Linked DNA regions of Canis lupus familiaris. The protein of the gene in region 6 interacts with the protein of the main gene of each other region in a biochemical or structural test. Links are inferred from orthologs where the notes say so. Each region holds a gene or a part of one and is shown on either strand. Other genes may lie near its edges.

What was found.
Region 1: the proteins of UBE2D3 (region 6) and NEDD4 form a complex in vitro, tested with the Homo sapiens proteins (17 studies listed by BioGRID and IntAct, with this or other methods). The link is inferred for Canis lupus familiaris from reciprocal best matches to the Homo sapiens genes UBE2D3 and NEDD4.
Region 2: the proteins of UBE2D3 (region 6) and UBE4B form a complex in vitro, tested with the Homo sapiens proteins (5 studies listed by BioGRID and IntAct, with this or other methods). The link is inferred for Canis lupus familiaris from reciprocal best matches to the Homo sapiens genes UBE2D3 and UBE4B.
Region 3: the proteins of UBE2D3 (region 6) and RNF14 form a complex in vitro, tested with the Homo sapiens proteins (2 studies listed by BioGRID, with this or other methods). The link is inferred for Canis lupus familiaris from reciprocal best matches to the Homo sapiens genes UBE2D3 and RNF14.
Region 4: the proteins of UBE2D3 (region 6) and TRIM33 form a complex in vitro, tested with the Homo sapiens proteins (2 studies listed by BioGRID). The link is inferred for Canis lupus familiaris from reciprocal best matches to the Homo sapiens genes UBE2D3 and TRIM33.
Region 5: the proteins of UBE2D3 (region 6) and RNF216 form a complex in vitro, tested with the Homo sapiens proteins (2 studies listed by BioGRID). The link is inferred for Canis lupus familiaris from reciprocal best matches to the Homo sapiens genes UBE2D3 and RNF216.
Region 7: the proteins of UBE2D3 (region 6) and ARIH1 form a complex in vitro, tested with the Homo sapiens proteins (2 studies listed by BioGRID). The link is inferred for Canis lupus familiaris from reciprocal best matches to the Homo sapiens genes UBE2D3 and ARIH1.

What each region holds. Positions count from the first base shown.
Region 1 is NC_049251.1:21,436,251-21,440,085, reverse strand, and holds part of NEDD4 (E3 ubiquitin-protein ligase NEDD4), read left to right. Parts: intron 1-164; coding exon 165-261; intron 262-2,881; coding exon 2,882-2,954; intron 2,955-3,478; coding exon 3,479-3,581; 3' UTR 3,582-3,835. UniProt on the Homo sapiens protein: E3 ubiquitin-protein ligase which accepts ubiquitin from an E2 ubiquitin-conjugating enzyme in the form of a thioester and then directly transfers the ubiquitin to targeted substrates. Specifically ubiquitinates 'Lys-63' in target proteins.
Region 2 is NC_049226.1:63,773,292-63,777,220, reverse strand, and holds part of UBE4B (ubiquitin conjugation factor E4 B), read right to left. Parts: intron 3,720-3,929; coding exon 3,491-3,719; intron 3,032-3,490; coding exon 2,615-3,031; intron 1,970-2,614; exon of another isoform or gene 1,858-1,969; coding exon 1,708-1,857; exon of another isoform or gene 1,683-1,707; intron 349-1,682; exon of another isoform or gene 261-348; intron 1-260. UniProt on the Homo sapiens protein: Ubiquitin-protein ligase that probably functions as an E3 ligase in conjunction with specific E1 and E2 ligases. May also function as an E4 ligase mediating the assembly of polyubiquitin chains on substrates ubiquitinated by another E3 ubiquitin ligase.
Region 3 is NC_049223.1:36,055,041-36,059,757, reverse strand, and holds the start of RNF14 (E3 ubiquitin-protein ligase RNF14), read right to left. Parts: upstream 2,974-4,717; 5' UTR 2,870-2,973; intron 2,762-2,869; exon of another isoform or gene 2,670-2,761; intron 21-2,669; exon of another isoform or gene 1-20. UniProt on the Homo sapiens protein: E3 ubiquitin-protein ligase that plays a key role in the RNF14-RNF25 translation quality control pathway, a pathway that takes place when a ribosome has stalled during translation, and which promotes ubiquitination and degradation of translation factors on stalled ribosomes.
Region 4 is NC_049238.1:52,669,595-52,673,523, reverse strand, and holds part of TRIM33 (E3 ubiquitin-protein ligase TRIM33), read left to right. Parts: intron 1-695; coding exon 696-842; intron 843-1,312; coding exon 1,313-1,430; intron 1,431-2,839; coding exon 2,840-3,114; intron 3,115-3,915; coding exon 3,916-3,929. UniProt on the Homo sapiens protein: Acts as an E3 ubiquitin-protein ligase. Promotes SMAD4 ubiquitination, nuclear exclusion and degradation via the ubiquitin proteasome pathway. According to PubMed:16751102, does not promote a decrease in the level of endogenous SMAD4.
Region 5 is NC_049227.1:12,342,572-12,347,005, forward strand, and holds the start of RNF216 (E3 ubiquitin-protein ligase RNF216), read left to right. Parts: upstream 1-1,402; 5' UTR 1,403-1,564; intron 1,565-4,434.
Region 6 is NC_049253.1:15,659,471-15,663,943, forward strand, and holds the start of UBE2D3 (ubiquitin-conjugating enzyme E2 D3), read left to right. Parts: upstream 1-1,320; 5' UTR 1,321-1,483; exon of another isoform or gene 1,484-1,522; intron 1,523-1,632; exon of another isoform or gene 1,633-1,842; intron 1,843-1,850; exon of another isoform or gene 1,851-2,068; intron 2,069-2,783; 5' UTR 2,784-2,916; coding exon 2,917-2,940; intron 2,941-3,670; exon of another isoform or gene 3,671-4,067; intron 4,068-4,473. UniProt on the Homo sapiens protein: Accepts ubiquitin from the E1 complex and catalyzes its covalent attachment to other proteins. In vitro catalyzes 'Lys-11'-, as well as 'Lys-48'-linked polyubiquitination.
Region 7 is NC_049251.1:36,366,686-36,371,155, forward strand, and holds the start of ARIH1 (E3 ubiquitin-protein ligase ARIH1), read left to right. Parts: upstream 1-1,285; 5' UTR 1,286-1,609; coding exon 1,610-1,981; intron 1,982-4,470. UniProt on the Homo sapiens protein: E3 ubiquitin-protein ligase, which catalyzes ubiquitination of target proteins together with ubiquitin-conjugating enzyme E2 UBE2L3.

The DNA.
Region 1 (3,835 bases), on a different chromosome or scaffold from region 6:
AATTCTGTAAGCCACCCAGAAACACAAATGTAACTAACAGATATATGTAAATTTAATAATGGATCATTAATACCATAATTAAATTCTGATAACATATTTTTTAAGATAGTTCTGTTACTTTTTTTCCTAGGGATGTACCTAAATGCTGTTTTTCTCTTATTCAGGCTGTTCTAATGATGGATTCAGAAAAAAGAATAAGATTACTTCAGTTTGTCACTGGTACATCTCGAGTGCCTATGAATGGATTTGCTGAACTCTATGGTAAGAATTTGCTGCAGATCATTAAAAAATGGAGTGATGCCACTTGTCTTTTTTATTGCTGATTAGTTGTCAAGCTTCTTTCATTTATACAAACACTGGGCTTAATAAAAAAGAATTAAGGGTTTTAAATGATTTACTGAGATACACTGAAGTAGGCCAGAATATATGTACACCTTCTAATCAGATACCAAAGGATAAAACATGAAATGCCTCGAGTTACTTTCCATTCTTGAATTTTAAATTTGATTCCTGCTACATATTCCATCACAGAAAGAGCATTGTCTGTGGGGTGATGGTTTAGGGCAACATGTAACGTCCCACAGAATGTTAGTAAGTATTCAGCAGGAAACAGAGTTCCATAGTAGAATACATTTGAGGAAAATACATTCAGAACCTTTACTATGAAAAAAAGGGGTTTCAAAACTTATTTGATCATGGAAGATGTATATGTGTGTGCGCGCGCACGTGCGCGCATGCGTGTGGTGTGTGTGTATGATGTTTGTGTATGTGCAGGACTAGGGACAAGACTACATATCTTTCAATATTCAGAATAGTTACTATTAATGGAGCTTTCTATAAAGTGAAATTCTGCATATCCTATCAAACTGTTTTCTAGTGGATATATTTAGAGGTGTGTTTTGAAAGAAACAAACAAACCTGCTGTTTCTGATATGGATCAACTTTTCTCAAATCAGCTATTTGTTGGAATGACATTTACTTGCTTTTAAAGATACTAAGAGGAATACATCTTTCAGGGAAGGTGTAGCTCAGGTTGGAGCCCTGCTCAGAGCAACAGCAAAGTTTAGAATTGTTCTGGAAACTACAAGTCAGAACTGCAGCCTCAGTAGTTGCTGAGCTGAATTTTTCATGCAAAGAGAAAGCTGCTGCTGTCTGACGGGATCACCAGCCCCGTCCATCTCCTTGGCAAACCTGATCTCCTTTTTTTTTTTTTTTTTATTTTTTATTTATTTATGATAGTCACACACAGAGAGAGAGAGGCAGAGACACAGGCAGAGGGAGAAGCAGGCTCCATGCACCGGGAGCCCGACGTGGGACTCGATCCCAGGTCTCCAGGATCGCGCCCTGGGCCAAAGGCAGGCGCCAAACCGCTGCGCCACCCAGGGATCCCAAACCTGATCTCCTTAAGTTCCATGTGTATCTGTTTGCAGCACCTGTCAAGCAGCTGTTGCTTCCTCACCTAGAGTCACCATGCTCAGTGAGAAGAATGAGATAGGAGCTGTGCCCTAATAAATGTGCCCCTGCTTGCCCAACTGGATTTCTTTGCATTTGTCTTTTCAGTGGTTTCCTGTGACTTCCTCTCCTTTTCTTCTCCCATATTTTAGCCAGTTACAGTAGGGAAAGATCAAGGCAGGCTGAACACCCCTTTCCATGTCTAGCTCCACGTCCTCCTTTTATGCAGTCCGGGCCTACAGCCATCCATTGGTTTCATGAATTGTTTGGAATTTGGGGGAAATATCCCACACATGGGGCCAGACTTGGTAGTATTAGAATATAATTCAAATTCTTATGCATTTTCAAAAAGAAGTCACTTCAAGCTGTTAATATTATAATACAGTATTATCTATTCAATAAAAGGGTGTCTTAGTTGACTTAAAGGGAGTGTTCACAATGGATTATTTAGGTGAGAGAGTCAAGAGGCAGGGAAATATGTACGATCCCATATTATGGAAAACCATGACAAGAATACTGAAATTTTAACTGAACGTAATTATGATGTGTGATGTGTGAAAAACAATGCTTTTTGAGAAAACTGTAATATCAAGAATATCCAGTATATTTAGTGCTGCTTCTGGCAGTTATACTCACACACATAATTAGGTATGACTATAAGACATGGGGAAAAGTATAGAAGGTTCTGCATTGGGTTGTCAGCACTGATTACCTGAGTGATTGGAGGATGTTGAGACTGGAGGGAAGGGAGAACTAAGTGCAAACTTCAAAGAAAAAAGTTTCTGAAAAAAAGAAAAGAAAAGAAAGTTTCTGAAAGTGTCCATAATAAAAGAAAAATGCAGCATGGATCACATGCTTACCTTCACACAAAATTCCATTTATACACACACACAATGATCCATGATAGAAGGTTTACTCAGATTTGAGAGTGGACTTTGAGGTGATTTTTACTCCCTTCATTATTTTTTCCCTATTGCTTTAATTTCCTTGCACTGAGACTAGATAATCAGAAAAAAATAAAGCTATTTTCAGCAGGACTGGAAAAAAAAAAGAAAATATTTATTTTCTCTGTGTACCTGTGAAGGAGATGGTCATGTGGAGACACAGGGCTAGCACACAGCAAAAGTCCTAGAGCTCTGGTACCCTAGAGGCCCAGTGATATGGTGACCATGCGTGAGTTGCTAGGAAGGAAGCTTCATCTCGTGGCTGGAAAATGAAGCCATCAAGGACACCACAGCCTTCTGTGAGTTTAAAGAAACTAGATTAGTAGGTTTAAGATTAGTATGTATGTTCATTAGTAGTATGTTCACTATTAGTAGTATGTTCATAGATCAGTATGTTTAAGTTCTACACTGGAAAAAATGAGTTGTGAAATTTTAGGGATTCCTATAAAGAATAAATGAGACCAAAGCAACTCTTTTCTTTGCAGGCTCAAATGGACCACAGTCATTTACAGTTGAACAGTGGGGTACCCCGGAAAAGCTGCCAAGAGCCCATACATGGTAAGCAGTTTTTTCGACCCTTAGAGAACACGTTTTCAGAGAGTGAAGCTCCTCTAACAGTCTGGGTACAGAAGGTCTAGCCTGCTCTGTGTCAGTGGCAGCTATGGAGGAGGGGGAGAAGAAGGCAGAAACAATGCAGATCAGGTATGTCTTTGCCTGGCAGGCCTGGGCTTGGAGACCAGGAAACTGAACAGTGGAGAGGCCCATCTCACCCATGGACCATGTGTGGCCCACCATCACATGAATGATGGGTCATCCCAAGAGAAGCTAGAACATACCCTTTGGGAGGTTAAATTAACAGAGGAACCCAGACATTTGGAGGTCAAAGTGGGAGTGAGAGAGGACAGCACCAAGACGTCATGGGATGAGTCCATGCCTAGAGCCCAGTACTGTATCTTCCTTCTCCTCTGGTGATAAAATGCCTTCTAGTATTGTTGAACACATCACGAATAGCATTATCATTGGCCACCATGGCACTTGCTTTGTCAATGTCTGTCGTAACCAGGTCCTCTCTGTTCTTTCAGCTTTAATCGCTTGGACTTGCCACCCTATGAATCATTTGAAGAATTATGGGATAAACTGCAGATGGCAATTGAGAACACTCAAGGCTTTGATGGCGTTGATTAGATTCCAAGTAACAACCTAGAGTGTTTCACTGCCACTTTTGTCTAAGCAAAATCTTGACTTAAAATTTTCCAGGGAACTACTACAACTTGGCCTTTGTTTCTTCCCAGATAGTGGAGAAAAACCCGATAAAAGTATTAGAAGAAGCAGTATGACAACCTTACTGTTATTTCATTCACTTTTAGATAATACGTTGCATTCACACAGCTGTTTCTATCTTTAGAGTTCCCACTCTAGGATTTAAGTCCCTTGTGCCT
Region 2 (3,929 bases), on a different chromosome or scaffold from region 6:
AATCTAGATAGATCAGATTCCATTTTAACAGCCAGCAAAGGACCTGCCAACTGAATGGAATTTTGTAATTACCGAGTAAAATACTGGTACTTTCTTGCCAAGGAACAGGGTACATGCATAAACACTCGGCAGTGAAATAACCAGTAAGGAACGAGAACAACACGGGTCCCATTGGGAGCACAGTGTGGTGATGAAGCAGGTAAGTTCTGGACTCAGGCCCTGCCACATACTGTTATGTGACTGACCTCCTGTCCCCCCAGGTTCCTTACAGTAACTGAGAGGGCTGCTGTGATGATAAAGGGATAACGTATACAGAGTGCTGGCACAGGATCTGGCACACGATGCTCAGTAAGTAGTTGGAGCTATTATACACAGTTATTTCTCCGTGTAGCTATAGCATCTAGATCAGAGACAAGCCTGAGATGCTAGGAGTCTAGTGCTAGTAAAAAGCAGCACACAATCTGGTATCTTTGTGAGAGAGCTAGAATTAAATAGGCCAGGGAGAGAAAGCCTTTCTCTCATAATTTACAGTAAAACAGATAACAAAGCACTTTTATCATTTATGGAAATTGATTCCTAAAGGATGCCTGCTGCATTACTGCAATTGTGCAGTAGGATTTTACCTACATGAAAAAGACACTTCTACCTTTGGGAAATTTACTTGAGAAACAGTAATATAATGTTCAACCTAATACAAATATCAACCTTCCTGAATCAATATTCAACCCTATACCAACATTCCTTTCTCTCTTTATATACTCTAATGATTCTTCTGAACACTGTCAAATTTAATGAAGTGTACCTAACTCCTACTGCCGTCTCTATTTATAGCCTGCAGTTATTTTTGAACAGAGCTGCTGGGCACAAATACCAAATGAGTCCAGTGGAAACTTCGATTTAAGAGCAAAATCGTAAGACACTGAGTCAGAGGTTCAGATAGAAGGTGCTATTAAATTTTCTTGCCCAAAGTCACCTAGAAAACCCAAGCAGTCTTTTTTCAGATGGGTTTCAGGGAGAAACATTCAGCAGCGTCATGAACTAAGTTTTAGCCTCTACTATCATTCCAAAGGCCATCTAAACAGGGGTCTAGCTTCACTGAGGTCAAGGAGGTAATCAGTGAAATTTAAGGTTAGAAGTAAAAGCAGAATAACAGACAGGATGGCCCCATACACTGTTCAACAGATTGTCTGACTGAGCTGGAGGATAGGGGGAAAAAAGACACACATATGCACGCATGATCCCAGTCCCTCTGCCATTCCTAAGTAGCAGCAATCCATGCAACTGTACATAAGAAAACATGCCCCACAGAGTACATGTTGCTCACATGTTGCTCATATCTGGCAGCTCGCAAGGACACTTGCAACAGATAAATGAAGGGTCCCTCATTTCAGATCTTAGGGTGGGTGAGCTTGATGACTTATCTTTAATTTGTTGTTTGTGTTTCTGACAAATGATTACACATAAGTTTTCCTCCAAACTTACCAGGCAACAACAATGAAGATTTTCCTATATGCCACTTTTCCCCATGATAAAGTCCTAATACCTCGGTACATGCAAGTTCCCCACATCTTGATTCTCCAGGCTGTCCCATCTGACCCTATCCTGTTTAGATTCCAAGCACGCCCCTAAATGAGGGCTTATAAAAGTTAGTTCCTAAGCACCTATGCACTATGCACATGCAGGGGTAAGACTCCATTCCTCTGATACCTGGACCCAAACTGGACACAAGAAAACTCATCACCACCACCACCACCTTCATCATCACCATCATCATCATCATCATCATCTTCTTCATCTTCATCACTACTGTCGCCAGAAAGTGCGAGGAAGAGGAAGGAGAAAGGATTGTCGTACATACTACCACAACAAAAGCAAAAAAGGTCATCAGGGAACAAAGGAAAAACAAGAGGTGGAAAAGCTTTTGTAACTGCTGTCTCTTTTTAATTAAATGTTATGCTAAAAGTTCTAATTATTGACATGCAGAAAAATAATTCACCTCAATGACAAAAATGCACAGGTACATTGCAGAGGGGAGGCAGGGGCGGCCCTGGGTTAGTAGAATTCTGCTACTGCTTCTTTCTAAGAGGCTCAAATCAAAGGGTCAAGGCACAAACACTGGTCCATCCCCAGTGATCAGAGGTAAGGGACAAGGGCCCAGACCCACTCCCACCACCCTTTGGGCTGACTGCATTTTGACTCTGATTGACAACAATACAAAGAGCTGAAGAGTGCTCCTGTGAGCTCCAACTCTCAAATACAAACTGCCCACAGCCTCTGGAATTCATTTGTAATAAAGAATGACACATGAACTAGATTTCACAAAATGAAGTGACTTTTTTTTTTTTTTTTGTACAGGAAGGAGGAAGAGTGAGGGGTAAGAACAGAGTAAGGGACACACAGCGGAACACCCACACGTTCTACTGTTATCGAAGCCTGGCAGAAGCATGGACTCGGGGCACAAGCCTACCAAACTAGTTAGACACACAGGTTAATAACCCAAACAGAAAAACACATGTAACTGAGGTCAGCGTCACACACCAGGTTCTTCCAAACAGAGTTAATCGCCTCTCCCTGCACTGCAAACTCACACCCAGCTCTCCTGCTGAATAAATACCTAGGAGAGATCCTTAGGGATGAGGGACGTCTGCTCACGGCACTGGGTGAGGCGGCCACTGAAGGGGGCCCCAGGCTGCTGGGTCTCTGTCTGAGAGAGCTGGCAGGAACCGCTTGAGGGCTACTAGCAAGGGCAGGGAGGCTGGGCGAGCTGGACAGAATGGAGATGCCTGGGGATCGCGGGGTAGGAGAAGTCGAAGACCCCCACGGGTGGGTGACAGTGTAGGGGCGATACCGTGGAGAGGAGGGCTGGCTTCCTGTGGCAGTTCCAGAGGCCATGCCACCATGCGGGCTGAGGGAAATGGAGGGCACAACCATCTGGCCAGCCACACGGGCAGGGGGGGAGGCAAAGGATGGACTCATCACTGGCACCGAGCTCCAGAAACTTGTACTGGGAGCTGGGCTAGTTTCATAGAGGCTAAATCAGTGGAGAAAGAGAGGAAAGAAGAGAAAAATGAAGAAAAACTTGAGGTAAATATCTAAAACGGAAAATATCAAGCTTTTAAAGAACAGCACAATGACACTTCGTATCTCTAAGCATTCAAGTGTACAAATCTTTCAGATACTCATCAAACTAGTTATAATCTAATTACCATAGTGATCTAGAGGCTGCATTTACAGTATGAGAAAGCCATCTTTCCAAAGAATAATGTACTGTATACAGTCATTTGTTTCTAAAATTTACTGAAAGCCAAACCATGGGAAGCCAAACAAACCAATCTGGAAAAGACAAGACCTTCAGCCATGACTAGAGGCACCCACCCAGAAAGAACACATACCACAACCTGACAAAGGCCTGTGAGCCAGCAGTCCCTTCTCTTACATAATTCATGGCTGTTTTACTACCAAATAGATGTGCAAAAGGAACCGCACTAACCTAGAGAAAGAGCTGGCACCAAAGGAACCCACACCACAGAACATGGGGCTTGTTCCTGGGTTAGAGCCAGTAGTGAGCATTAGATTCCTGTCTGGTGACCGAGCTGCTGCTGCAATTGGCTGTGATGTGGCTGTCAGACTGGCAAATGGATTTTCATCTCTAGTCTGCGTAGACATCATTAGCACTTCCATTAAAATCTGGCCAATCAAGTCCTTAAAATCAGAGAACACTGTTGGAAAGGGAGAATAAAGAAGAGGTTACACATGGTTCTTTATATACATAGTTCTTGAATCAGCCAAGTTGAACCAGAGGTTCAATGGGGTATCTGGATTGGATTCTGGAACAGTAAAAAGACATTAATAGAAAACCTGGGGGCCCCTGAGTGGCTCAGCGGTTCAGCATCTGGGCATGATCCTGGAGTCCCAAGATTGAGTCCTGC
Region 3 (4,717 bases), on a different chromosome or scaffold from region 6:
CTGAGCCGGGCGGATCCGGCTGGGGCGGCCCGGCGAGGAGTGGGCTTCGCGCAGGCGCCGTGGCCGCCCCGGTCCCTCGGTCGCCCCCTGCAGGCCAAAGGCGGCGCTGCCGGCGCGGTCCCGTCACCGCGCCCCACACGCGGCCCTGGCAAGTTGATACAAACGCAGCTTCTGTGCCCCCGGGGCTCCTTCTTTTCAGTAGTTCCGGGATGCGCTCGGGAATTAGAAGTTTTGCCAACCCTTAGAGGTGAGGGGAGGCCATGGTCTATCCACGACAGATCTGCTCCTCCGGGCCGACTAAGCAGGTTGCCCATTTCTGTGGTACCTCCTCTAGGAGAGCATTCACCATTGTTATTACCGCACTTATTGAGCAGTTAGGACGCTTCAAGCGCTTTGCTAAGTGCTTTACATACATTTTCTCTTTATCTTCACCATAACCTTATGATTATTCCCATTTTATTAATGAGGACATTGAAACGTAGAGATGTTCGGGAATTTATTTTATTTTTTTAAAGATTTTTTTATGTATTTATTTATTCATAGAGACAGAGACAGAGAGGCGGAGGCACAGACAGGGAGCCCGACGTGGGACTCGATCCGAGGTCTCCAGGATCACGCCCTGGGCTGCAGGCGGCGCTAAACCGCTGCGCCACCGGGGCTGCCCCGCTGTTGGGGAATTTACCAAATGGTAGGTGATTATTGAGAGGCTGAGAGGGAATTAAAATTACATGCCCTCTACCTCACACCATATGCATAAAGTAACTCAAAATTGATCAAAGATCGAGATGTAAGAGCTAAAACTGTAAAACTCTTAAAAGAAAATGTGAGAATAAGTCTTCATGAACTTGGGTCAGGCAAGAGTTTTTTAGTTACAAAACCAAAAGCACAAGCAACAAAAGAAAGAAAGAGATAAATTGGACTCAACACAATAAAGAATGTTTATGCTTCAAAGTACACTATCAAGAGAGTGAGAAGACAACCTACAGAATAGGAGTATTTGCAAATCATTTATCTAATATTCAGGATATAAAAAGAATTTCTGTAACTCAACAATAAAAGAGACAATCCAGTTTTAAATGTGTTTAAGTTTTAACCATGTTTGTAGCATGGGCAAAGGATCTGAATAGACATTTCTTCAAAGAAGACATACAAATGGTTCAGAAGCATATGAAAAGATGTTCAACATCATTAGTCATTGGGGAAATGCAAATCAAAACCACCATGAGAAACCACACGCACTAGGATGGCTATAATAAAAAGACAGGTTGGGATGCCTGGGTGGCTCAGTGGTTGAGCGTCTGCCTTTGGTTCAGGGCGTGATCCCATAGTCCTGGGATCGAGTCTCACATCAGGCTTCCTGCATGGAGCCTGCTTCTCCCTCTGCCTATGTCTCTGCCTCTCTTTGTGTCTCTCATGAATGAATAAATAAAATCTTAAAAAAAAAAAAAAGTTAAACACAGAGTTTCAGTAAGACCCAGAAATTCTACTCCTAAGTATATATCCAAGAGAGTTGAAAACATATGTTCACACAAAAACTTGTACACATATGCACAACTACATTTGTACACTGGTACATATTTATTTGCATATAGTATACATAAATGTTCACTATAGCTGCAGTATTCACAATTGCCAAAAGGTTGAAACAACCTAAATGTCCATCATTAGATAAATTGATAAACTAAATATGGTACATCCTTACAATGAAATATTATTCTGTCATAAAAAAGGAGTGAAATACTGATAAATGCTACAATACGGATGAACCTTAACATTATGCTAAGTGAAAAAGTCAGACACAAAAGGCCACATATTGTATAATTCCAGTTATATGAAATGTCCAGAACAGGCAAATCCATAGGGACAGGAGTGCATGGGAAGTGACTACTAATGGATATGGGGTTAATTTTGGGGGATGAAAATCCTATAGTGGTGAAGGTTGCACAGTTTTGTGACTATACTAAAAACCACTGGGCTGGGGATCCCTGGGTGGCGCAGCGGTTTGGCGCCTGCCTTTGGCCCAGGGCGCGATCCTGGAGACCCGGGATCGAATCCCACATCGGGCTCCCGGTGCATGGAGCCTGCTTCTCCCTCTGCCTGTGTCTCTGCCTCTCTCTCTCTCTCTGTGACTATCATAAGTAAATAAATAAAAATTTAAAAAAAAACCACTGGGCTGTACACTTTTAAAGGGTGAATTTGGGGATATGTGAATTATATCTCAATAAAAAAATTTTAGGTAGTCAGTCCTTATGCGGGATGCTGAAATGTTGGTTCTGGTTCCTGGAAACCATCAAACTAATGTGGCCCTAATGATCTAATAAGCTCCTATGTCCTCTATATCATATACTTCTCCCCCAAGAAAAGTAATTTTCAAGGGTAAACCTCTAATCCAAGCCTACAGGATTCAAAAGGTCTTTACCACCCCTGCCTTCCAGGCAGGATTGGCTTCATGGGTAAGTCACCTGTGTAGTCTCACAGGGCCCTGTTCTCAGGAAGGCCTCAGGCTTGGAAAGGCCCTGCTCTTAGTCTAATGCTCTCCTATGCCTATCTTGAAGTTCTTAATTTTCCAATAAGAAGTGCTCTATTTTTATTCTACACTGAGCCCCACAAAATACAGAACTGGTCATGCACTCAGGAGAGAAGAAAATCAGGACATTGAAGGGGCTTACCTGACTGCGACAGAGGGACAACTTTTGAGATGCAAATAATCACTCATAATTTTCCATACTGTCCAGACCAGACCCAAACCAGAAACATGCTCCTTAAAGATGCAAAGATAGAAGAAGAGTCTATGAAGCCATTCACTAATATCATTACTCATGTTAGGCAAAGGAAGTAAAAGCAAGAGCAAAATGTATGGCAACCCTACCTTTGAGTGTTCACAGGTGAGACTATGAATCCTGCCAGTGACCTCCTAGATGCAAAAAGTGAGGGAGCCTAAGAACCAACTTGGGAAATTCTTACAAATCAGAGCAGGAGGTAAATTATGACATCATGTCATGACCTCATGTCAGAGGTCACAGGATGAAGGGAATAGAAGAGAGAATTTCAAAGCAGTGTTAATAATTTGGACTAGGGCAGCTCGGGTGGCTCAGCGGTTTAGCGCCGCCTTTAGCCCAGGGCCTGATCCTGGAGACCTGGGATTAAGTCCCACCTCAGACTCCCTGCATGGAGCCTGCTTCTCCCTCTACCTGTGTCTCTGCCTCTATCTCTCCCTGTGTCTCTCATGAATAAATAAATAAAATCTTAAATAATAATAATAATAATAATTTGGACTAAATATTTACAGTCCAGTTTTGAGGTCAGGATTGGATAAAGAGAGTTTTCTAATCAATTCTAGTTTTAGGGGGATCCCTGGGTGGTTCAGCGGTTTAGCGCCTGCCTTTGGCCCACAGCGTAATTCTGGAGTCCTGGGATCGAGTCCCACATCAGGCTCCCTGCATGGAGCCTGCTTCTCCCTCTGCCTGTGTCTCTGCCTCTCTCTCTTTCTCTCTGTCTCTCATGAATAAATAAATAAAATCTTTAAAAAAAAATTCTGGTTTCAGACTCAAGAAAAGCAATAGACTTTTGTGTCTTCAGTTTCATGTGCCTGTCTAGTTTTTTAAGTTGAGCTTACCCCGTGGACCCAGCGCTCCACTGTGCTAAGTACTTTACATACATTATGTCACTTATTTATTTTAGTGGGTTTTATTTTTTTATTTTTTTTTTTAGTGGGTTTTAAAAATGTTTATATATTTATTTGATAGAGAGGGTGCATGCTAGTGGGGGGAGGGGCAGAGGGAGAGAATCCTCAAGCAGACTCCTCACTGAGAGCAGAGCCTGACTTGGGGCTGGATCTCATGACCCATGAGATCATGGCCTGAGCTGAAATCAAGAGTTGGACACTCCACTGATTGAACCACCGAGGTGCTCCATGCATGATCTCATTTAAATACCCAGGACCTCATAACTGAGGCAATTTTGTCTCCCAGTTTTACAGATGAGGAAATTGGTGCACCAAGGGGTGAAGTGATTTGACCAGTGTCATACAATGGTGACATGCAGGATTAGGACCAGTTCCTCATCAGTGATTACACTCTTCTGTAAGAGAATTAGGTTTGTTGTAGCAGAAATACAGAGAGAATAAAATAGTTCCTGCCTTCAGAATTAAAGGGGAACACCCTAAGGAAGTCGGGATTAGATTTTATGACATAATGGTAGAGGGAAAGAAACTTACCTCCATTGCCTATCCCCAAGCACAGTAGGTGATGGAGCCTCAGGCCAGAAGAGAATGGGATGTGTGACCTAGAACAGAGGTCAGGGCTCACGTGTGGATAGACCATTGAGTAGAGAAGCAGGAATGAGTCAGAACATGCTGGTTAATGGAGGGACCAGCAGGCTTCTCTCAGTGACAGTCCTTGTTCCCATGCATTACTGGGGCATCCAGTGGGTGTCCAGAGACTTTGTTGAACTCATCCCACCTGCGTGATGTTAATAGTCAACTTTTCAATGGCCACCATTCGTGAGCACCTCTGAAACAAGCCTTGACACACAAATGGGTGGCAATGTGGAAGGAAAAGCCCTGCCCCAACTCTGAGGTAGTTCTGGACAGTGGTGAGCCCCACTCTAATATAGAAGAATCACTGAATTCCCACTAGCATCTTGTCATTATGTATTTGCTCACCATGCAGATCTTTAAAAGGTCTATAATCATCACATGGGAATCTGAAAAATTGGT
Region 4 (3,929 bases), on a different chromosome or scaffold from region 6:
CATTAAGAAAATGGTTAAGTACCAACTATAGTTACGTTGTTTGGTGTACCTAATGTCGAAGTGTGTATAGAACATCATCTATCGCTTCTGGGAATTTAAGTTCCCAGGTAGTTTATTTTTCCTTTGCAGCATTTCTCCCCCCACCCATTGGTCCTTCAGCTCTTACTTACTTTCTTGTTCTTTATGAACTTTTGTCTTTTCAAAACTTTCCCTAACTGTACTCTTAGAGTGTTGGAATTTACCTTTCTCATTTTGTCTTAAGTATTTAAAGGAATAGATTTTAACTTTAGCCTCATGCTACACCAGTAGGTGGCAGTGGTAACACAAAATTTTCTTTGGTCTGAAACGAATATATCAAATTTCTAAATGTCAGCTCATTGTGTCATAGATTCTGTATGTTGGATCAGCCTAATAGATACTATTTTTAACAAAGACATTTTATCTTCTGAAGGAAAAGAGAGAACATCAACTAACAATTTCTGTATGTGGAATATCCCTTGTTAGCTTTGAGAATGAAGTTTTAGTTCCGCTTTTGTTAGTGACTTTTCTTTTGATCAGAAGCTCATTAAATAATGAAGTGCTTGTCAACTTATCCTAATTTTAAAAAATAATGTAGGAATTTGTTCATTTATAATAAGAATCGTGAGTTGAAATTTTCATATAGAATTCTTCACTGAACTCTTGTTCTGTTTCAGAATGTTACAAAAGAAAGACAGATGAAGTTACTACAGCAACAGAATGACATCACAGGCCTTTCCCGACAGGTGAAACATGTTATGAACTTTACAAACTGGGCAATTGCGAGTGGCAGCAGCACAGCACTACTGTACAGCAAGCGACTGGTGAGACACATAGTATATTTATGGTTTTAAATTGACTTGACATTAATATACTTATATTCAGTTAACTGCACTTTTTTAAAGTATAGATTTTGTAGTTTTGCATATGTAATCACCACTATGTTAAGATACAGAAAATTTCCATCACCCACAAAAGCTTCCTTGTTCCCTTTACTCCTGACCCTAGGCAACCATTAGTCTGATTTCTTTTATTTTCTAGAATCTCATATGAATGGAACCAGACAGTATTTATTTTCCTGAAAATACCTGGTATCATAATGCAGTTTATCACCAGAAATATCAGAAGTTCAAGCATGTGCATTTGATTGCTGATATAGATAGTCTTTTAATCGTGTACTGTCTCATCTGAGATTGACATTGTGGGGCTTGATGAGCTTTTAATGTCTTTATCATGTGTGATTTCTCAAGTGATACTTAAATTTTTAAGACTAATGTGAATTTTTTCCTTTAAGATTACTTTTCAATTGCGCCATATTTTGAAAGCACGGTGTGATCCTGTGCCTGCTGCTAATGGAGCAATTCGTTTCCATTGTGATCCCACCTTCTGGGCAAAGAATGTAGTCAATTTAGGTGAGAAATAATTAGTTTCATGAATATAACTGGGAACACTGAATTAGGAGAAAGTATCTAAAGCAAAGCTTAGATACTTAAAATTTAAATTCACTCTTACATGTAAACTTCTTGGAAAATATGTTCCTCATCGGAAACTCACTTGAGCTGTGTTCATAACATCTTTAAGAATGTTGAAAGTCTACTAATTTTAGATTTAAAAAATGTTTATCATTGCTAACTACCCCCCCATCTTTTAAAATTGATAATGACTGTTTCATGTCGAAAAGTTAGCAAATGGGCCTTTATTCTCTTGAAAGAGTTTATTAGATGCTTGGTAATTTGTATATTAGTTATACTAATTATCCACTGGAGGAGGACCTACGGGATGCTGATGTGTCTGAAAGTCAAATACTGAGGAATGTTTGAAAGCTAAGACTAGCTCTTTTCCACACGAAAGAGGAATGGACTTTACTCTGTTGCTCCTCAGTGTGGACCTGTGGACCACAGGTGAAAGTTACAGGGAGTCAAACAGCTCAATTTAAAACAAAGACCAAAAACTTCCCAATGATTAGAACTGTCTACACATTGAGTAAAGTCACTTTCAAAATAGTCAAGTCCTCACCATTGGAAGTTGTAAAAGCAGAGGTGGATAGATTTCTGTAAAAAAATAATTTTTGTGTATTTTAAAATTTTACTATAGCCTTAGATCAGGCATTAGCAAACTGTTTTTGTATGGCATGGCAGCTAAGTTTTTTGTTTTTGTTTTTTTTTTTTCACATTTTAAAGAGTTATAAAAACAAATGAAAAAAAAAAAAAAGAATATGTGACAGATCTTATGTAGCCTACAAAGCCTAAATTATCTGACTCATCAAAGGAAATGTTTGCCAATTCTGCCTTACATCAGACCTTCCTAAAATTTGTTTTCTATTCCTAGAAAACAAGAGCTCTGTGAGAGGCAAGGAAAATTGTCATTCTAGGGACATAAGTGGTTAAAACATTCCACGTTTCCACAGAAGACAGTTCTGGAGCAGTGTCATGCTCTCCCCTGCAGATTTTGGCAATTCAAAGGCAATGGCATCAGCATTAGCAATCTTAGGTTTCCTTGAATCTAGGAGAATGGATTTTGACTGACTAGATGGGCCTCTTCTGATAATATCTCTTTCATATCTTTAATTTTTTATGCATTTGTGTAAATAAAGAATAAGGGCAGGCGATATATTATTCTGAATAATCAAAAGTCAATTATTTGGCTTTGGACTGTTTCTGATCTTCATTATCTTTAAACCTAGCTTCTATCTCTGCTGAACTGTCAAAAGCTTTGAGTGCTGATAATTGTCAAAGGAAAGAGGAAAAGATAGTGACTAATCCACAAAGTAGATAATTTAATCGTTTATATGCAAATTATTCTCATTTTTTAAATCCTTCAGGTAATCTAGTAATAGAGAGTAAGCCAGCTCCTGGTTATACTCCTAATGTTGTAGTTGGGCAAGTTCCTCCAGGGACAAACCACATTAGTAAAACCCCTGGACAGATTAACTTAGCACAGCTTCGACTCCAGCACATGCAACAACAAGTATATGCACAGAAACATCAACAGTTGCAGCAGATGAGGATGCAGCAACCACCTGCACCTGTATCAACAACAACAACAACAACACAGCAGCACCCTAGACAAGCAGCCCCGCAGATGTTACAGCAACAGGTGAGTATTATATCATGCATGACATTATTGATAAAGATTATGAAGGCCTCAAGATTATACTTCTGTCCTGTACGGATGAATTTACACATTTCAAAGTTACTAGCAAGGACAAAGCTCAAATGTTAGAGTTTAAATGTTTCCTCTGGGTTTGGCAGGGATTTGGGGGAGATGGGAGGAAGGGCATTAAATACTTACATGGGAAACAAACTTGACTCTGTACTTACTATAGAGGAGCACAAATTTTTATCATATTTTTTGTTTTCCACATGTGGTTTTGGGCCAGAGAACTAGATAGTTTTTGCCTAAGATCTGGTAAGTTCTTATTTATTTAAGACAGTGATAGCGGGGAGGGTGAGAGGGAATCTGGAGTAGATTCAGTGCTGAGCACGGAGCCCCCCCCCCCCCCCCCCCCCACGGGGCTTGATCCCATGACCCTGAGATCACAACCTTAGCCTCTTAGAAATTGGGAGTCGGACGCTTAACTGACTGAACCACGCAGGCACCTTGATCTGATAAGTTCTTCAGGCATTTGCTCAAATCATTTCCATCCCTGTATCTTTCCTGATCTCCCCTTCCCCATCCAAATCAAAACCATTAATCCAGGTTTGGATAAATTAATGTTAATAAGTCTTACACACACACACCCCAAGAGAAAGAGATTGAGGCTAGAAATGGGGGAGAATGTAACTTAGACTTTTTACTTTATGCCCTTCTGTCCTAATTTTTACCATAATATTTTATAATTGAAAGATAAGTTGATAAAAAATATTATTACGTAAATGCAATTTCTACCTTTTTTAGCCTCCAAGATTGAT
Region 5 (4,434 bases), on a different chromosome or scaffold from region 6:
TCACGGAACTCTAGTGCCTGCAAGGCTACTGCATTCGACTGATCGTTCGTTCTCTACTCTCTCCTTCACAAATCTTCTCCCAGATCTTTTCCCTGACCTCGCCCTCAGCTAAGGTCCCTCCTTATCATTTCCCTGAGGTTCAGTTGCATCATCTTGTGTCTCTGAGTAGCATTGGGCAACACCGATCATTGCCTTCTTGTCGAAACACTTTGTCTCTTGGGCCTCTGAGATACCATACTCTCCTGGTTTTCCTCCGCAGCATCCTCTAGATTCCAAATGTTTAAGTGACCCTGAAGTCTGTCCTCAGCTGTCCTCTCCCCTCTATCTACACTCATTACCTAGGTGTGAGTGTAGCTAGTCTGATGGCTTCATACGTTATCTCTATCTCAGTGATTCCTAGTTTAAATCCCTAGCCTGAGTGATCCTGTCTTTCTGAAGCTGCAGACTCATATATCCAAATGCTGACTGACGTCTCTAATTTGAAGGTGTCGTTGGCAATTTCACACGTCCAAAACACATTTACTTCTCCCTACTCTGACCAAAATCTGTTCTTCCCAATCTCCCCCCATATTTATGACTGAAACCCCATTCATCCAGTTGCACGTTCCAAAAACCTTGCAGTTACCCTTTCCCTCTCACCTCACATCCAATCCATCTGCAAATCTCTCCGTTCTACTTGAAAAAAAAAAAAAATCCCTACTCTGATCATTCCCCCCTCCCCCTCCTTCCTGACCATACTAGTTAAGGTCACCATTGGGTATTATTTAGACTCCTATAATCTCTTCCTAACTAGCATTCCTCTGATTAAGACCTCCTTATGTCATTTCGTTTTCTGCTCAAACGTCCCTCTTTAGAAGACTTCATGACCGCATTGGCATCCCCATCACTCTCTACCCCTTCCTCTGCTCTATTTTTCTTGTGTTGTTCCCCCCCCAACCCTTCCTGCCTGAGCCAGTATTTTAGTGCGTTTGTTATATATCTATCCACTAAAAGATTAACTTGGGGAGAACAGGGGCCCTCTATATCGTTGTATGCCCAATTCCTACAACAGTGCCTGGCACACAGGAAGCTCTTTGAAAAATAGGTGTTGGATGAATGACCTGCCAAAGGCAAGGGGTGCAAATAAATGCATATCCAATAGCTTTCCATGGGCATCTGCTCCCCCCTACCCCACATTCCCCCGCCTCCACTCTTTTCATCCCTAGGGAGACAGGCGACACTTCCTGAGGTTGGGGGAAGGGCCCCTCAGTTTCCTTCGTCCTCCCACCTCGTGGGGGAGTCAAGACTCAGTGGGCGGTGAGCGGCCAGACGTCCCTCTCTATGGTCTTACTCTCCAGGCCCCTCCTCCCTAGCACCCGGCGTGCCTCTATGGTTCTTCCTGTCATTAGTCGGGAGGGGGCGCTGTGCGCAGGCGCGGGGTGAAGTCGCGGCGGGGCCGGAAGGAGTGCAGCGGCGGCCTCGGCGGCGGCGGCAACGAAGCTGTCGGCGGCCGCTTCTGGTGACTAAAAGCTGTGGCGACAGAAGCCGCCGAGCCCGCTTGGCGAGCCGGCGAGCTGAGTGGCGAGTAAGTGTCGGCCGCGGGGCGCGCCCAGCTCCTCGGCAGGCCGCGTGAGGCGAGTGGCGTCTCAGCCCAGCGCCTCCATTAAGCCCCAGGGTGGGGGCGGGGGCGGGGGCGGGGGCCTCGGCTGTGAGGGGCGGCGGGGCCGCGGAGTCGGGGGCGCGGGCCTGGCCCGGCGGCCTCCCGCAGGCGAGCGGGCCCGGAGCCGCGCGGGGCCCCGCCGAGGGCCGGGCGGCGCGAGCAGCGGGGCTGGCGGTGAGGCGGGAGCCACAAAGGCGGCGGCGGCGGCTGGCGGACGCTCCCCCGCGCCCGCCACTTCGGGAAGTTTCGCGGGCCGGTCCCTCGGCCTGCTGCGCGAGGGCGAACGCGCCGAAAGACCCGAGTTTCCCGGCGGCACCTCGCGGGAGGCGGCGTCGGTGGAGCCGAGCGCGGCCTGGAGCGCGCGGGCGGTGATGCACTGGGACTCTGAACTCCGGCGTCCCCCTTCACCCCCCCACCCCCCCGGGGCCCAGGGGCGTCGGGCCTCAGTCCCCAACCCTCCCGACTCGGTTCAGGAGCGCCGTCTTGTCGGGAAAGCCGGCGGCTCCCACCCAGCCCTCGTGAAGACATGCAAGTGCGTCAAAACCCTCTGCAGCGCGGGGAAGGCGAACCCGACAAATGTGCCTGGAGCGCCGCGCAGTGAACGAGACCGGCGTTCCCGCGTGGGACGTGGCTGGAGACTGCGTGGAACGACGGTCTCAAAACTTTGGGCCACTTCAGTCCTGTGCGAGACCCCCCCCCCCCCGTCTCGCCCACCGGCGCCCCCCCCCCCCCCCCCCCCCCCCCCCAGTGCCTGCGTTGTGATAAGTGCCCGGGTATGGCTTGTCCATCCAAGTCACTTTGCTAATGCAAAGAGAAGATTTTTTTTTACCCTGCAGGGAACTGGGAGAAGACAGGGAAGATTTTAGGACCGACCTCAATTTTAGCACGCTTGCCTGAAAAAAGACTGCCAAGAAACAGCCTTGCTTTGTTCTATTTGTTGTATAGGTAATTTATTGGGGCTCGGGGTACAGACTGGTGTGAAACTGAGGAAATCGCTGGAGAACTGGAGCCAGATTTGGGATCTCCCCCCTTAAACCTAAATAGAGGCTAGCGGGCAGCAAGTTTTTTTTTTTTTTTTTTTTTTTTTTTAAACCTGCCTTCCAGCCCGAATGGAGAAATCTAATAAAGGAAGTTGAAATTTGAGTCAAGAAGACTGAAAGTTTATGAAATAGGGTCGATGAGAGCACCTGAGTTTGCTGACCCTGATGGCTTCTATTTAATGAGTAGTTGCTATATTCTAGGCTGTGTTAAGGTCTTTTCAGACCTCATAACTAATTCTCATAGCTGGCAATATTTTACTTTTCTTGTCAGTAAGACAAACATGATGCTAGTAACTATGCTAGGTATTGTTCTAAGCATTTTTTAATGTAATAACTCCTCTAATCTTCAGTAATGGGGGTTCCGTTATTATTTTAAAAGGAAGAAAACGAGGTACTGAAAAATAAGTAGTCAAAAAACTCCCACAGAGCTGGGACTTGAATTCAGTTTGGTTCCATAGCTCATGCTCCTCCTACTAATTACTTTGCCATCCCTGTAGATGATATTTATTCGAAAAGTTCTTCTGGAGTATTTACTTTGTGCCAAGCAGTATGTCCTGCGGCTAATGGAATGAATAAGATGTCGGGTCCTCCATCCTTGGAACTTGTTTTAGCAGATAGCTATTTAATGTAGCTTTCTAAGTATTTGTAGATTATTATTGTGCCAAGTACTTTGAAAGATTGAGATATATTGTGTGAGTGAACAATGGGGATGGTTAGGTGTTTCTTTTTTTTTTTTCTTTTTTTTTTTTAAGATTTATTTATTTATGATAGACATAGAGAGAGAGGCAGGTTCCATGCTGGGAGCCCGACGCACGAGACTCGATCCTGGGACTCCAGGATCGCGCCCTGGGCCAAAGGCAGGCGCTAAACTGCTGAGCCACCCAGGGATCCTCCTGGTTAGGTATTTTTGAGGAAGTGATATTTAAGATAAGAAACTCAAAGATGAATGGAGTTAATTTGGTCAGAAAGAGGCAGTGAAAAATAATCAGCCAGCCAGAGGTAAGAGGAAGGAGCATGGCCCGTTCAAGGCCCTGAAAGAATGGTGAATGGAGGAGAGGTGTATGGTGAGGCTAGCTATGTCAGCAATGGTCCTACGAGGCAGCGTTTCACAGGCCACGAAATTTTGGTTCTATGACGAAATCTTATGATTTAAAAGAAACAGCACCTCAGTGCCAAATGAAAATAAGTGGGAGAGTAGAACCTATAGGCACTTTTGGGGTGGCAGGGGCAGCTTATCATGAATTCACAGAGGATTCACCTCTAAAAAGATTGAAAACCATGATCCCCCCCTTGTGAATAAGGATGTGCTTGCTTATTTCAGTTTCTGAACCAATTTTCGGTTGACATTTGAGGAAAATCATAAGGTTATATGTTAAACTCTTTAACCTACCTAGTGAAGATTCTGAGTTTAATTTTTGGGTTAAAACCCTTCCCATTGTGGGCAGCCCGGGTGGCTCAGCAGTTTAGTGCCGCCTTCAGCCCAGGGTGTGATCCTGGAGACCTGTGCCTATCTCTCTCTCTCTCCTCTCTCTCTCTCTCTCTCTCTCTCTCTCTCTTTCTCTCTTTCTCTCGAATAAATAAACACAATCTTTAAAAAAAAAAAAAAACTTTCCCATTGTAAAAAGACACTGATAAGAGGATTTTTAGGATTCTTGTAAACTCTGATAACACTCCAGACTAATTGCCCACATAATTATATCTGTAATTATGGATGCTATTTTACCTTTCATTTTGTCTGCATATTAAAATATACAC
Region 6 (4,473 bases):
ACCAACGAGAATAGAGCAAGAACTCAAACCTGGATTTCACCCTCCACCCCAACTGCCTAATTCTGTGTTTCTACTCAAGTAGACCGGTTAAATCAGAGAACAAAGATTATTCTAGGAGAAGGGAAACAGGCTATGTGATGAGCACTTTAGTACTCTGCTATTCACGGGGCTGTACTCTGACCAGAATCATCTGTACCACCTGGGAGTTTGTTAAAACTGTGAAATCTCATGCTCCACCAAGGCCTACTACATCAAAATCTACATTCTGAACAAAATCCTTAGCTGATTCACAGAGATACTAGCTTGAGCAGGGTTTCACCAATTGCTCGAGTGACACTCCTCCTGACCACGTAAGCGGTATACATTAGCCCATTCATCACAGACCTACTTTAGCTTTTATTAGGTAATACTTTATTGTAACCAGAAATTGCTGCTTTTCTTTTTTTTTTAAACTATATTTTAAAAACAAGTTAATTTTCCTCTTTGATTCTTTAAAATATCCACTTCGTTAAGTCAGGAAATGTTCGAAAACTTTAAGCAGGTCAGCGCTTACCTTTAATCCTTTTAAAAATTACTGTCGTACCACCCCTTTGCCTGAAGGATACCCTAGAGAGCCAAACCACCTTCTCCATTATTTTACACCCGGCAGATTAAACAGGCCAATTCTGCTCTTCCCTTTCTGCCCGCCCCCGGATGTTTCAGTTAAGTAATACGTTTTTCTGACCCAAAACTCTGATCTTTTGAGTTTTGCAACTCTGTGGACCTAGAAGTTGAAACACGGCAAGAGGAAGAAGGAGGTGTTAAGTCTCTTCCCGTACCTCAATCCTGGCGGATGGTGACAGGCAAATAGCCTGCCCCTATTTCCCTACCCTCCACGTTAATCCATAGTTGAATCTGATGCCTAGACGACTGCGACTGGGAGGGGCTCTAGGAGGCCCCCTTTCCTCAGTACGGACCCTCTAGGTCAGAAACGCGCTGTGTCTCGGCACGTGAGAGCGCTCATCAGCGGTCCGCTCGGTTCTATTTACAACGAGTGTTGCACTTTGAGGGGTGCCTCCTCCCCCTGGTTAACGAGCCCGCACGGGCAGGCGAGTGCGGATATATTGCTCACCTGCTCCACCGAAATCTCGGAAGGCCCGGATCAACCTGGACTAAAGGTACCCGGTGATTAGCCCGTGGCACCTCCCGCCGCACATTCCTGATTGGGCGCGTGAGGGACGGACGCGCCGGCGCGCGCTCCAACCCGTCCGGGGAATTCCAGTTCCCCTCCCTCCCACCAGCAGAAGCATCCAGGGGCGGTGCTTCCCGACGACGGCCCGCCCCTACTCCAGCCGGTGCCTATTGCATCTCGCGAGAACTTGTAGATTCGGGGGGCGGGCCCCCAACAGGAAGAGCTCACGCAACTGCCCTTAAGTCATTGCAGGGCTATCGCTCCGGCTAGCCAGCCACGAGGTTCTCGCGAGATCCGCCGCCTCAATACCAAGTGAGGAAACTGGGGGACGCTGCTGGGAGGGGCGTGGGTCTCGACCGCGCAGCTGCCGCTTCCATTACCTTCCTCCCATGGTCTCCTTCCGGTTCTCGATGCTTCTCTGAGTCTGAGGGTTTCCGCCGCTCGTCCACCCTCCCCCCCCCCCCAGCCCATGACCCGCCTCCGGCCCCCGCCCTCCCAGTCCAACCTCCGATCTGTTTAGTAAGAAGGTGCTGTTCCGAAAAGAAGGAAGAGGGGGTAGCACAGATCAACTCGGTCCCGGACGTAGGAAGTAAACCGTCCCCCCGTCCCCCTTCGCTTCGTCCTGTGCTCGCGACGGCGGCGTTGGCGGACTGATACGCGGCGGTGAAGAGGCAGGAGGAGGGGGGAGGGGCGGAGCGTGGCAGCTGGCAGTAGTTCCGTCAGAGCGGACATCTTGTGGCTGTGTCGTGCGCGTGAGCCCCGTAGGGCCGGGGAGGCACCAGCTGCCGCGCGGGGAGGAGGCCGAGGCCGCAGCTTGAGGGAGGCCCCGGCCCCTCTGTACGCGTGGGTGTGGACGGCTAGGGGAAGGGAAGGGAGGCCGGCCCCCTGGCCGGCCGGGTAAGAGGGGAGATCCGGGCCTCGGGTGGCTGGAGTGACCAGCCTGTTGGGTGGGGTAGGGTGGGAAGGCTGGGGAAGCCGGGGCCTCGCCTGCCCAAGGGGGTGGGGGAATGGGCGCGTCCTCGCGCCCGAGCCGGAGCCTCAGGGGCAGCTCGGGCGCGTGGTGGCGGTGGCGGGGCGGGCGCGTGCGGGAGCGCGCTGGAAGGCGGAGTGTACGGTGGCGTCAGGGCCGACAGAATAGCTCTGGCTGCGGGGACGGCAACCTACAGCAAGTCTCTTTATTATTTCCTTCTCCTTCCGGGCCGCACCTTTGAGCAGAAACCGAAAGAACCCCGGCGTCAGTCCGGAGCCTCCAGTCTTCCCCCTCCCCCCTAGCCTTTCTTCGCCCTAGTGACGCCGGCGCAGCGCCGACTAGGCCCCGGCTCCTCCTCTGCTGGGCTCCGGACCCTGCCCCGCACCCACCCCTTTCTCCTACGCCTCTTCCTCTCCCACCCGGGTCTCTTTCGAGAGGCCGGGAAGTCAAACTTGTAGCCGCCCCCTCCGCTCTTCCCGTCACCCTCGCCGCCTCTCCGGGCCGAAGCACGGCATAGAGGCTGTTGGTGGCTTTGCCACGCCACCCCACCCACCCCGGATCGCGACCGTTTTAAGGGACCTGGATTCATCAGGGTCTCTCCGGGGCCTGTGCGAGTGCTGATCTGCTCCGTTTTTGCAAAAGGCGCCTGTGTCTGGCAGAGCCGGTGTGAGACGAAGAGAGACAATCCTTCCCTGCCGCCCGGGTAATCAAGAGTTTTGGCCGGACCTTTGAGCACACACCGAGAGAGTGAGGAGCCAGACGAAAAGCACAGACTATGGCGCTGAAACGGATTAATAAGGTAACCCACGGGGCTGAAGGGAAGGGGGTCGTGGGAGGAAACGAAGGCTCGGTCTCGGAGGAAAGCGTGGGGGTGGGGAGGAAGTATAATTAGGAAAACGTCTTTCCTTGGGTCACTTCTGTGGGGGGGGGGGGGATGGGAAAGAAAGGAGGCTTAAAGCTAGAGAACAGAACACTTGTGGCGAATGAGCTGTTTATCTTGAGTATGTTTCAGTTGGAGTCGGCCCAAATGAGGGGTGGGGGAGAGTGATTTTAGGCGCTTGGGTTTTGCTGCTAAAAAGAGTTTTTTAGTCTTGTTTGAGGGTCAGAATTGCCCAGAGACGCTCCCGCAGATGTCATGGCGCTCCCTAGTCTCGGTGCTTGAGAACTTTGGCTGTAAGATCAAGGTTTTCGGGTTTTCTAGGGGGAAGAGTCGTAGGAAACTCCTAGGGGAGGTGATAGAAATCTGGCGGGTCCTGAACCTAATTGGGGGTCGGTGTAGAAGTCTCTTGGCGGCTGAAGAGTAGTGACTGAACCTAGTTAAACTTCATCGACTCTGAGCAGGTTACACAAGAATAAGTGGGGCTGGGAAGAGATGGGCTGACACGATGTTACCACTTCCTATGTTTTGTAGTTGAGACTTCTCACTCGAATTTATAAGAGGGACGCTGCGAACTGGTGTAAAAGGCTTCTGGAAGCTCCCTTCTTTTGACTGGGGGGTGGGGGGGTGGGCGGTACGGGTGTGATGGCAGTAAGGGAAGGTTTGGTGTACCTATCTTTGTCTCGGCTGATTTTATAACACTTTCGGAGATGATTGGCTACTTGAAACGTGGTTTGATAGAAACTATTGATAGATAGAAGTTGAAAGAAATACGTTTTTTCGAGCCTGGGGGGGGCGCCGGGTGAGCGGAACCTTCACCTCCGGTGGTTTAGTCTCATTTTCTTGCTCTAACTTCTATCCCGCATTTTAAGATGGCGGCTGCTTTAACTGGTTCAGGCTTTTTCCGGCATCTCCTTTCGTCATTATATGAAATAATATTCTTTGTTAAATGTTAACTTTTACATCAGATTGTACACAGCTCTTGAGACGTCCTGCTGAAGACTCGATGTTCAAACTCTCAAACTGCATTTCCCTTTTTTGTAACTTGTGTATGTGTGGTGTATTTGGTTCTTGCACAATCGAGGAGGGTGGAGTATTTACAGCTAACTTGAAAAAAATGTCATGGAATAAATTCAGCCTTACTAAAAAACTAGGGAGACCGAGGGGGCTGTGGGTTAGAAACTTCGGTTTTCATGGGTTACTTTTTTTTAAAGGAGTTCTATATGGGAGGCATGGCAGGGACTTGGCTTGTACTAAGTAGACCTGATGCTGCCTAATTTTAATTATGTGTGACTTTGAGTTTATTTGAGCAAACTGGTATTCTGAAAGATGATGGTTCAGATTTTCGTGTAATGAAAGAGACTGAAATCTTGAATTTTGATTTAGTCCATCATTGCATTGTCATTGTGCGTTTATGTAAAATATACACTTAAATGTTTGTTTTGGAGAGGAAAA
Region 7 (4,470 bases), on a different chromosome or scaffold from region 6:
CCCAGGATCGAGTCCCACGTCGGGCTCCCTGCATGGAGCCTGCTCCTTCCTCTGCCTGTGTCTCTGCCTCTCTCTCTGTGTGTGTCTCTCATCAATCAATAAATAAAATCTTTTTTTTATTTTTTATTTTTTTAATAAATAAAATCTTAAAAAAAAAAAACAACAACACTCTTACTGTGCTGGTCCCTAACTTGCCTGTTGTTTTCCCCTTTACCCCCCTCCCTGCACTATAAGCTGCTGCAACGAAACTACTTTACCCCTGCTGTGCTTTTGCTTCTGTTATTCTCTCAGGCCAGATCCTCCTCCTACCTCCCCGGTTAAACTCCTGGCCGCCAATCGACACGCAGAAGACACAACAACACCTTTCTAGATAAGAGGCCAGCACTGCCTCGCTGCTGCATTCGGTCCGTGCAGTTACTTCCATTCCTGCTTGTCTTGGGTTACATTGCGATGCATTTTATACACTGTGTAGCACCTGGTCTGTGTCATGCATTATAAAGCGTTTCCACGATTGACGTTCTAGGTCACCCCGCCGCTGAAGCAGGGCGCGTTCCGTGGCCTCGGTCAAGCCCCTTTCCCTCTGGAGCCTCAGACACGCGAGGGCCGCGTCCTGTGGCTCCGCGAAGAAGGCAGAGGGAATGGCTGAGCCCTCGCACGGCGCTCGGTTAAGGAAAGCCCCGACTGTTTACATCGCTTAGGGTCCTGGATAGGCAGGTGCCTACTGCGATGAGGTCAGGAAACCCTCCTCTGAGATGACGTCACTGTCAGCGACTTCAGAGCCCCCGCTCGCTCATCCGTACGGGTGCACGGAAGCAGAACTACTCAGAAAGGGGGGGGGGGAGTGGGGTGGGGGTTCACCTGTCCCAGGTCACAGGTTGCGCATGAAACCGATTTCCATTTAGCAGCTCGGGCAACGGCAATTTTAGCTCAACAGCCGCGGACTTCCCCGAAGGACTCCGGGGCGGGCGGGCGGGCGGGCAGCGTCTGTGGCGCGGCTGGATTCAGCGAGCGGGGCTGGACCCCTCCCGCCTGCGGCAAAACCCGCCACCCGGCCCGGGGGCCTTCTCAGGAGCACGCCCCGCCCCCCGCCCCGCCCTCGGGGGCGGCCGCGGCCGGAACCGGGCCGGCGATTCCCGCGGCGCCGCGCTCCCGGGGCCAGGCCGGGCCGTGGGGTCTCCCCGCTCGCCACGCAGGGGCGGCGGGGCGGGGCGCGGTGACGCCAAGAGGAGTGACGCGACGACGCAGCGCGACGCGGTGACGCACGCCCCTTTGTTGGCTCAGTAGCGGTAGCAGCGGCCGTGGAGGTGGCGCTGGGGACTGTTTTCTCTCGGAGGCCGGAGCGGAGCCGCGTCTGACTGAGGCGGGCGGCGAGCAGCCCCCTCGCTCCGTCCCTCCCGCCTCCGCGCCCTCCCCGCCGCCGCCGCCGCCGCCGCCCGCCGCCCGCCGCCCGCCGCCCGCCGCCGCGCCCGGGGAGGAGCCGCGGCCCGCGGGGCCGGAGCCAGGCCTGCGTCCGGACCTCAGCCGGAGCCGGAGCGAGAGCCGGGGCCTCGGCGTCCCCGCCCTCTCCCCGCCTCAGGGCCGCGTCCGCCGGGCCCTCGCGCGTCGCGCCATGGACTCGGACGAGGGCTACAACTACGAGTTCGACGAGGACGAGGAGTGCAGCGAGGAGGACAGCGGCGCCGAGGAGGAGGAGGACGAGGACGACGATGAGCCGGACGACGACAACCTGGACCTGGGCGAGGTGGAGCTGGTGGAGCCCGGGCTGGGCGTCGGCGGGGAGCGGGACGGACTGCTGTGCGGGGAGACGGGCGGCGGCGGCGGCAGCGCGCTGGGGCCCGGCGGCGGCGGCGGCGGCGGCGGCGGCGGCGGCGGCGGGCCGGGGCACGAGCAGGAGGAGGACTACCGCTACGAGGTGCTCACGGCCGAGCAGATTCTGCAGCACATGGTGGAATGTATCCGGGAGGTCAACGAGGTCATCCAGGTGAGGGTGCCCGCCGCGCTGGCTTGACCCGACCGGGGAGCGGACCCGGCGGCCCGCGGGGCAGGCCCGGGCCTGGTGCGCAGCCCAGCCCGCCGCCTCCCGGGCCTGTCTCCCCCGCCGCCTCTGCTGGGCACGGAGGGTGTCGAAAGCAGACATTCGCCGGTTCGCCGGGCGTGGGGAGGTGCGCTGGGGGCGGCGCTTTCCGGGTCCTGCGATGGCGGAGGCCTCGGGCCGCCCAGCGCTCGTCCTGCGGGCTGGAGGGCGATCCCTGCGGGTCCCCGGGCCCGGTGTCCTTCCCCCGGCCGGAGGAGCGCCCACAGGGGCGGGGCGGGCCGGGCCGGGCCGGGCCGGGCCGGGCCGGGCCGGAGGGCGGGGGTGGAGGAGAGCAGGAAAACGCGGCCCCTACGGGGGTTACCCCGGCCTTCCAAGTCTCGCTTGAGCACTTTTGGAAGGGGTTGGAGTAGGCCTAAGAGCCGCTTGGTGTACGGTTGCCCCAAGTGGGCACCAGTTAATAAAGAAATGGATCTGCTTGGCAGTCTTAAGTGCCTACTTAAAGGTGGGGGAAGGGAACTGTTTCTCGGAAGAGGTGCTGATGGGCCTTCTTTTACGATGGTGAGGCTTCTGCTCTTCTCTCTCTCTCTCTCTCTCTTTTTTTAAATGCCTTCGCTGTTTGTTTGGGACCTAATGCTACTTTTTCCAGGGGTAGCGTGTCACTTACTCGAAGCCGTCGGGAGAGTCCCTGCAGATTGCATACCCAGCCTTGCGGCTAAAACAAAACGCAGCGTACTGTCTGATATTAGGCTCTATTGTGAGTTAGAAAGTAGGGGCTTTCTGCTTCTGAACTCCTTTCTTGATAATTTTTTTTTTTTTTCGAATTTCTTGGAGAGTTAGGCTTGGTCCAAGTTGATGACCACAACTCACGTAACATCGTGAGTCCGGTTTTGCATTTCTCAGCTTGAGGAAGTCCAAAGTTTACATTTGGTTGGGGGGATTGGGGGAGGAATCCAGTTATGATGAGGGATACAACTGTAGAATGAAAATGACGTCTTGATTCAGTGCAACTTTTAGAAAACACTAGTTACATGTGAGGAAACTATATACAGAAGCTAGTTACTATTAGCTTCTTGTATGTCAGTCATTCCTTTTTTTTTTTTTTCTTAAAAATCAGTTGACTAATATTCACTGGCAAATTGGCAGTAGTATGTCACTGCCTACTTGTTCAGTTGGGATGATTAACAGATTTTTACAGTATTGTCTAGTAAGCAGCACTTCCAATTGTGCCATCTATTTAGGCTCCTCTGAATAATAGTAAAAAAAAAAAAAAAGTAAATGGTAAATAATAGTAAAAAAAAAAAAAACCTGTGATATATAGTGGTACTAGTAGACCGTGGACGTCTCAAACTTTCATATGGATACTGCAGTCTGAGGAGGAAATTGAAGGGACATAGAAGGAAGATTAAGTTTATTGTTCTTTTTTTTTGGATTCTAAAAGTATGACAGTTCTTAAGCCACTAAGTTGAGACTTTTTTTTGAGGAAACTTTATTAAAAGAATTGAGAGTAAACCTTGAATTCTCTTTCCGTTTATTTACCACTACAGTATGTAAAATCTGATCTTTTCACACTTACCTAGTTTTTTGACGTTAATTAGGTTTTAAAAATTCGTGGATAATGAATTTATTTGACTTACTGTTTGTTTTCATGTAGTAAATCTCATCCAACTTTCTCAGCTCTTAGGTGTATCTTAAGCACTGAGGCTAAACCTTAAAATTCCTTATGTCACTTCTGGAACGGAGATGTAGCTAATGCATATGACATCATTCTTTCTTTGTTAGTTTAGAGGAGAGAGAATAAATGCAGATGAACTGAACTATTTAAGAAACACAAAATACCAGGGGTTTATTTAGGTGTCCATGCCTGATTTTTGAAAACTGTCTTTTTTTCTAGCTGACTTCTTGTTAAGGATGCTCTTAAATGGAATTCCTGAATATATAAATATTTATTCCTTGTTAAGTTTCCTATTTCGAAGTATCAGTAAATCCAAGAATAGGATCTATCCCAGGTCACTTTTTTCCAAATGGTGTGCTTACTAGATCTAAACTAGGCCTTGGTTATGGTGTGGCTTTTTTATGTGCGTAGATTTAAGCTTCAAAAGTGACACTGAAAAAAAAAAGTGGCACTGGTAATACATGCATACTGTAAGAAAAAACTGACTAGGCAAGAAAAAAAAAAAAACGAGATCGACACCAAGAGAGATACACAAAATTTGAGCTGTAGTTTTCTTTCTAGACCTCTGGGTGAGCTATACATATATTTTAATAACGACAGGATCATACTATATATATTCTCTTTTATGTTTTCAGTAGAAAAAAGCAGATTACAAAAACAGAAGGAATCTCAACTTTTCTTGTTAATAACTCTTTCCATTTCCAGTGTTTACAGGATTATAAATCTAAACTATTTAATCCATTATTATTACCCCCCCCCCCCA